Macaca fascicularis: one gene and its partner. The protein of the gene in region 1 interacts with the protein of each later gene in a biochemical or structural test. Links are inferred from orthologs where the notes say so. Each region holds a gene or a part of one and is shown in the gene's direction. Other genes may lie near its edges. The genes, in order: DSG1 and PKP1.

Region 1 (3,815 bases):
AAGGCAAGCATATGTAAAAGGAAGAAAATAAAGACATGGAGGAGAGAACACAAAGGATCAACTATATTGCCTGACCTTTCATCTTTCCTTCTTCTCTCCTTTAATATTTTTCTAAATAATGACATAGAAAGATTAATTGGTTTTAATAATGTAATACTATCTGTAATTTTTTTTTTTTTTTTTTGAGAGAGGGTCTCACTCTGTCACTCAGGCTGGAGTGCAGTGGCACAACCACCGCACACCTCCCTGGTTGAGCAGCCTCAACCTCCCTGGCTCAAGCCATCCTCCCAACTCAGCCTCCGGAGTAGCTAAGATTACAGGCAAAAGCCCCCATGCATGCCTAATTTTTGTATTTTTTGTAGAGATGGAGTTCCACCATGTTGCTCAGGCTTGTCTCAAACTCCTGGACTCTAGCGATCCACCCGCCTCCGCCTCCCGAAGTGCTGGGATTACAGGCATGAGCCACCATGCCAGTCCCACTATTTGTAATTTTTAATACTACAAAACAAACTAAAATTGATTGCAGTCTAATATACAGAAGCTCCTATTTGCTTTGGGCTCTGACCATTACTCAGCTTGTATTCTGAAACTTTCATAATTTTAGAACCAACCGGAATTATATCAGGAATTCAAATTTGACCATAAAAAGTCAAGTTGTTTTGTTTTTTATTTGCACCAAGCGCTAATCTAGTATTACTATCCTTCCACCACCAGTGGTCCCATTTTTGATGATTTGTTGTGATTGTGGAGGTGCTCCTCGTAGTGCAGCTGGCTTTGAGCCTGTTCCTGAATGTTCAGATGGAGCAATTCATTCATGGGCAGTAGAAGGACCACAGCCTGAACCCGGGGTAAGTGCCACATTCTAATAAATAGCCTTTGGTAGTCACTGAAATTCAGTTTTTACACATGAACCAAGATGGCCGCCATCACTCACAGTCTATGCTGTTTTTTGTGCTGAGAAATCTAATGGGGAAAATGAAGAGGAATCAAAAGCACAACAAAATTAGATGGAAGTAACCAGGGAAGGTTTTCTAAGAGAAGTTCAAATTTTAAATGGATTTCAGCATTTCCTAAATAGTTTTTTTTTTTTTTTTCCGGGAAACCTGAGGTAATTTGAGAATAAACCAAATGTGTGACTATAGAAAGATTACAGTCATTGGTCATTACAAATGGCAATGTTGTTTCCTGTCTTTTAGGTTATGACCACCATCATACCACAAATACCACCTGATAATGCAAATATAATTGAATGCATTGACAACTCAGGTAAGAAAAAAACATTGTTTAACAACTCAAATGATTAGGAAGTCTGTTTTCTCTCTTTGCATATTGTTGTTTGATGGTCTTATTTTTCTTCAAAAGTGTTTATATCATTCTTTTTTAAATGACTAATTTGTAAATTAAATGGCAAGGAAAAACCTACAGTAATTATTATTCTTATATGCTGCATTTTAAAAGTTTTCCTCAACCATCAAAGAGTACTTAGAAGATGACCAAATTAGGATCTCTATATATGCAGAAGTACTGAATTGTAACCATGAGTAAGTTTTAGTCAAGATTTTTAATTTAATAGAGCAAATTTCATTAACAGACATACACACACATATGTCATACACATATATACACTAATTCAAATTAAAGCACAACCCGACTAAAATAGACCTGTGCTCATTGATTGAGGCTAAAATCTTTATACACAATTAATTTAAGGATTCAGAATTGCTTTGACTTTAGCTGCTTATTATAACATAGAAAAAAATTACATCCATTTTCAGTATCATCACAAATATTACCTAAAAAATATTTGTCCAATTTCTTTAATTCAAAGCAAGTAGATGAAACACTATCAAAATCTTTCAAAGCTCTCAACTGAGATTGTGTGCACGTGGTGGAGTTTCTTCTAGCACATGGGTAAGACTGTATAAATCCAACTTGCCTTAAAACAGGAATCTAGACCAGTTCACAGGCAGAAACCAGGGAACAATTAGAATTTCACAGTAAGTGGATAACTACCACTATAATAAAAGAACAATTAAAATAACATCCATATCTGTGAAAATAGTTGTATCACATTACTTTTCTCAAGGTAAATAAATACTATTGGTTAGCGTATTTTTCTCTTAGTCTTTTTAAACAGTAACCATTGTTTTCTACTTTAAACTCTAACAGGCATAGACATGTGTATAACTTGTAGAACTGGAACTTATTCAAAGAATTGGACACAGTAATCTTTAAATCTATTTCTCCACCTGATTTGTCCATTTTCATTAACAACCCCAATGTCTTCTCACCTCAAAAGCAGAATCTCATTGTTGACTCACATTCACTAACATCAAAACAGTTCTCAAGACTTATCAAATCATCAAATCCATCAGTATTTATCTACACATTTGTTCCCATTAAGTCTACAAACTTTTGCACAGATTTTGAACAAAGCACCATAAGAGGTACCAAGGACAATTGAAGCATGAAAAGTACACTGTTCCCAAACTCAAGATACTTCACGTACTAAAACCAGTGGATACGTATCCCACTGACAACATTCATCATTCCATAGCAGTTCCACGGTCCCAGCCATCATTTTATCTCACCTACCTCAAATATTTCTTTTTATATTTTTTTAATTTAAAAAAGATGAAACACTTGACCAATTTGTGTATCATCCTGTGCAGGGGCAATGCTAATCTTCTCTGTATAGTTCTAATTTTAGTATATGTGCTACTGAAGCAAGTATCTACCTCAAATACAGTAACAGGCTTCCACTTACTCCTCACATCCAAGTGCAAACCCAAGATTCTTCATGAAAACCTTTCTCCTCACATAGCCATGGCTTCCTTTCTGAAAGCCAGTGGTTCTCATGTCTTTTTCTGGATGTCCTGTGCTTCTAGTTACACATTGGGGCATTCTTACACTATTTTTTTAACTTTCAGAATTTGAGTATTTTTCTTCCAATTTCCTTCAGGTTGAAATCAAACTCTTTAGGGCATAGATTTTTATAAGTCCTCTGCAGCTTTCACTTCCAGCAGAGAATATAGTAATCTCTCAACAGATAATTATCAAATTAACAAATTAATAATATTATTTTGAGCTCAATATTGTATTTATATCTCATTTCTTTATGTATTATCTTTTTATTTCTTTGTTCACAAATGCATACCTAAATGAAAAAATCATGTATTATAAGGCAAGTTGTTAATTTTTTTAGTTTGTGATAGACTAAAGAAAATAAACTTAATTTGATCAACACTTTTAGGAGTTTATACAAATGAGTATGGTGGCAGAGAAATGCAAGATCTGGGAGGAGGAGAGAGAATGACAGGATTTGAACTAACAGAGGGAGTTAAAACTTCAGGAATGCCTGAGATATGTCAAGAGTACTCTGGAACATTAAGAAGAAATTCTATGAGGGAATGTAGAGAAGGAGGTCTGAATATGAATTTCATGGAAAGCTACTTCTGTCAGGTAAGGTCCCTAGCCACATGTCTTTCTCGCCATCCATGTGCCTGCTGCTCTTCACCCCAAGCTTTCACTAATTCCTAAAGGGGCTTGGGCAAGAGTCTCCTAACTAGATTCTCAGCGTTTGTGTCCAACAATCCATGCTGTTAATTAATCATAGATCTAAAGCTCTGACCTGAGCACTTCACTCCCCAACTTAAGAACAGCCAATGGCTCTCAGCTCTCTTTTGTTCATGGCATGCAATCCAAAGTCCTTAACATGTTAATTAAGATTGTTCACAAAAAGAACCCTCCCTCTCATCTCCAATTACTCCTTGCCATCAACTCCACTTGCTGAGCACCTTTGCCACAGACTTTTC
Region 2 (4,418 bases), on another chromosome or scaffold:
TCTTCTAGATCCTTCCTCGACATAAAATTCCCAAAAAGAATAGATTTCTGATTGCCCTTTCCTCCGTAGATTAGAAGAGCAAACTAAAAGTAAAGCATGTGAGCTGTGAAGGGCAACCTCAAATGACAGCAAGAGTGACGGCTGTGATAGTGTCACACAGCTGGTGGAGGCCCCAAAACTAAGAAGCTGACTGGACTGCACGACTACACAGTTCAGTAATGGATGTCCAGAATGTGAAACTCAGGGCATCAAGAAGTACAGCAAATATGTTCAGTGTTGTTTGCTTTAGGAGGCAAAGCAGAATGCGATACTTTTTAGAAATATTTCCATCAAAGTAAATACTTAAAAAAAAAAAAAAAGGACTCGGTTCCTGTTACACACCAGATTCACTGATGTGGGCTCTCTCCATCCCTGGGGAGGATGCTACATTAATGAAGCTTCACTGCACATGTGTCCCCAGGGGTGTGAGTGTGCATAGGGGAATGCACACAGTGGTCCCAAAATAGTAAGTCCAGAGTGGAGTTTCAGGATAAAGCAGCTCTTCAATTTTTCAGTGAGGATCTGGTTAGGATCCAAGTTAGATTTAATTTACCTTAAATTAACTAGCATTCATGTATTCACCTATTTAAAAATATCTTTTATTGAGTACCTAATATTACCTGTGCCAGGCATTGTATCAGAGGCTATAGTGGAGTTTCAGAGAGGATCCGCTGTTCACGTGGTGTTTTACCGGGCTATACTCATGAACAACAAATAACCACCAGTTTCACCAAGGCATACCCACTGTGTGGTCTGATATCTCAAGTCTGCTCCTTGATGTGGCCTTCCTGCCCCTACCCGACTTGCTTCAGAGGAAACTGCTTTAGAGTAGACTGGGTTGCCCCCATAAGATGGAGCACTCCTTTGGAGCAAGAGCTATGGTCCTGCCATCAGCCCGGGAGCCTCCACCGCCGAGGCTGGTCTCTGCTATGACCGCAGTACAGAGGGAGATGGACGCCTGGCTCTCCCGGACAGCCTGGTCAAGAAAGACTCCTTTTTTCCTAGAGAGAGGTCTCCCTCGGTTCCTGAGCTGAACACATGCTTTCTCAGTGAGCCGGCAGAACAGGACAGAGGGGCGTCTCCCTGGGGCCTCAAGGCTTGCGACGTTTCTTGCTCATGGGGAGAGGAAAAGGAGAGAAAAAAAGAGCGAGCAGGAAGGCGCCCAGTGTCCCACACGGGGGACTCGTAGCCCTGCCCCCAAGAGCGCTGGCTCCGCAGCAGCAGTGCCCTGCAGCTCCGCGTCTGAGCGGCAGCAGCGCGCGGCCAGGTGGAGTGGGTGGTGCAGGGCAGGGGTGGTATATCCTGTCTGACGGAGGGCGGGCCTCGCCACTGCCAAAGAGGGACGAACCGGGGTGGAAGCGCCAGGAGCAGCTGCCGGGAGCCCTCACGCGGACCACGCACTCTATGGCCGTAGGGAGCTGCTGAGAGCGAGAAGAGCACGTTACCGCCCGCCCGCTGCACCGCACCTCGCCTCGCCTCTCTGCTCTCCCAGGCCCCGGCCGCGCGCCTCCCGCCTCCCGCCACCATGAACCACTCGCCGCTCAAGACCGCCTTGGCGTACGAATGCTTCCAGGACCAGGACAACTCCACTTTGGCTTTGCCGTCGGACCAAAAGATGAAAACAGGCACTTCTGGCAGGCAGCGCGTGCAGGAGCAGGTGATGATGACCGTCAAGCGGCAGAAGTCCAAGTCTTCCCAGTCGTCCACCCTGAGCCACTCCAATCGAGGTAAAGGCTCGGTCCCCGCGTGGTCCGTGCGCCCCTTTTCAGAGCGCCCTGGCCCAGCGGCGGAGACCAAGGGACGCAAGCATCCCAGGGGGTGCGGGGAGGCGAGGGGCTGCTGGCCCCATGCAGGGTCTACGCGCCGAATGCCAGCAGCCGAACTCCTAGCCGGTTCCGAGCAGATGGAACAGCCACCCGAGGCTGGCTCGACAGCTCCACGAGCTCGATGGCGCGCTAGTGGGCAAGGATGGGTGGTTCACCCGGACACAGCCGGCAGTATCTCCCAGCGTGCCAGGAGGCTGAGGATCCCCCGCGAGCGGTTCTCCTGTCCCTGAGCCCTGGGTCTGGACGGCTTTCTCTTTCGGGTGCTGCTCTAGGGATCAGCCCTGCATCATGTCTCACCCTGGCTGTCCTGGGGGCCATGGTCCCCGCGCTCGCAATCAGTTGTGGGCCACCCTTCAACCTTCCTGGGCTTGATCTCCTGGCCTTCAGCTGGCAGCCGATGCCCGGCGTTCAGGCCAAGGGGAACCCCAGTCCCTGTGTGCGTGTGTATCCGCGAGCGGCGTGAGGGAGTCGCTGAGACAGGAGTGCAGCTCAGGAGAGTCGCTGCGGGACGGAGAAGTGGCACAGGGAGCAGGGAGGAGACCCTGGAACTCCAGGGCACTTTATTGGGAGCCTCCTGAAAGAGGCTAGCCTAGTTGGAAGGCCGCCCCAGGGCCAGTGGGTCCCTTGACAACAGGGAAGGGGGTCAGGATGCCTTCTTTCCCGAATAGCCAATGCAGAACTCCTCTTTCCCACTGAATTCTTTCTACCCCACCCAGCTTAGGTAGACAAGTGTCTCATGGGGAGAGTAAGGAATGAGCATGGCAGGTTGGAAATCCCCCTAGGCCCCAGGGAGACCTCTAGCTGAGCCCTCACGGGAACTTTTCCAAGCTGGATCCCGGGCCTGGCACCCCCTCCTCCAGCTTCTGAGAGGCCAGAGCCCATGACTGGGGAAGCCTGGGAGAAAGGGGCAGCACCCGCGAAACTCAAGGAGGAAGGGGCAGTACCTGACAGGGGAGAGCTTATAGACCAAACAGATGCTTTAATACAAAGGATGCCTGGTAAGAATTACACAGAAGTGAGCAAAGATTCCCCTTGTTTATTTATTTACTTATTTTATTTAGCTAAATTTAGTAAAATACTAATAAAGACTTTACCCACCACTAACCAGTACAGGTGAACCAAGACTTATTTATTAAGACAGGCCTTAGGAGAGAGTGAGGGGCAGGGGGTAATAAGGTGGAAGGAGACAAAAGAAACCAGCCTTGGCCATTCTCCCACCACACACACACACACACACACACACACACACACACACACCCCTACCTCACACTTTCTACCTCTGGCTTCTGTCCCCCCACCCACTCCCTAGCCCCCATTCCTGAGTGGCCCCATGTAGAGCCGAAGGAAGGAAAATGGCGGGCAGATGACTTCCTGGGCCCCAGACCTAAAGGCCTTTGCTGCTCTGTGCTCTTTGCCTTTGTCTGAGCCCTGGGCTCCTCTCCTCACATTTCCACTCAAGGTCGTGCCGCCTCCAGAGCACATGCCTCCTTCCCTTTTATTTGGTGCATTGGTAGGTGCCTCCTAGCCTCTTTAGAAGTAGGTTTGGAAGAACAAAGTGCCCCATTTCTGGCTATAGCCCAGGGCACTGCTCAACCTACTCTCCTCTCTGCCCAAGACTTGGCTGTCCCCTTCCCACTTCCACTCCATCCCAGCCTGAGCTCTTGGCTCACAACTCCAGAAAACTCAAATGGCCCTGGGTGCCCCAAGGACCCCTTATTCCTCCCACCTATCAGGATATCGGCTGAGTGTCTGTCAGCCTGAAGTGTACTTTCTGGGCTTGGTCTTTGTGGGGAACCTCTATCTGATAAGGTCTCCTTTGTTCCCTCTTTGTTTTTCCTCCCAAGGTCCTTCAGGGGGCTTCATTCAGGGGAGGGTTGATGCTGATGGCTACCTCTCCAGAAACTCCAAGGTCTGGCCCTGTGGGCGTGTCCCCTCTACCCTCAGACTCTGCGGAGGTTCCTAAAGGAGGCTGGTTTCCCCAGAGGCATCCTTGCTGGAAGAGGCGGTTTGGTCACTTGGAGCTGGTGTTTCTGGTTTAGCTGGCTTCGTTTTCATCAGATTTCCTTGTCCTCTCCATCAGAAACGCCCAAGCGTCCCCTATTTGCTCTGCGGCCACCTCTACTCACTCTGCTCCCTCTTTCTCATGCTGGTTTACCTGTCAGGAGCCTGCCTTGGTTCCTGGAATGGAAAGAGCTGGTGGCTGTGGAAGGACCATGCCCAGACATTTTCCCTCGCCCCCTGGACAGATTCAAATTCTCCTTTAGTCTCTTCCAAGAGCAGAGTCAGTTCGCCTAGGGTCTTCCTGAGCCCCTTGAATCCCATCCAAAGTTCCCCGAGTTAAGAAGGGCCAGCCACACCCTACAGGTTGCCTGGAAGAGTAGCCACTGCTCCTTGTACCCCAGGAAGGACAGTCAGGACCAGCCATCCTTGGTCCTGTGATAGAAGTGGCTTCTCAGTTCCTTTCCACTAGGGCTCTTTTCTCTCTTGTCACTGAGGGAGTATTGAGCCACTGAGGGCTGGATGAAGGGCCCCTGGAGCCTGTCACCAAATGCC

The links.
Region 2: the proteins of DSG1 (region 1) and PKP1 form a complex in vitro, tested with the Homo sapiens proteins (2 studies listed by BioGRID and IntAct). The link is inferred for Macaca fascicularis from reciprocal best matches to the Homo sapiens genes DSG1 and PKP1.

What each region holds. Positions count from the first base shown.
Region 1 is NC_088392.1:58,528,802-58,532,616, reverse strand, and holds part of DSG1 (desmoglein-1), read left to right. Parts: intron 1-714; coding exon 715-848; intron 849-1,196; coding exon 1,197-1,266; intron 1,267-2,628; exon of another isoform or gene 2,629-2,730; intron 2,731-3,253; coding exon 3,254-3,462; intron 3,463-3,815. UniProt on the Homo sapiens protein: Component of intercellular desmosome junctions. Involved in the interaction of plaque proteins and intermediate filaments mediating cell-cell adhesion.
Region 2 is NC_088375.1:59,013,187-59,017,604, forward strand, and holds the start of PKP1 (plakophilin-1), read left to right. Parts: upstream 1-1,364; 5' UTR 1,365-1,564; coding exon 1,565-1,766; intron 1,767-4,418. UniProt on the Homo sapiens protein: A component of desmosome cell-cell junctions which are required for positive regulation of cellular adhesion.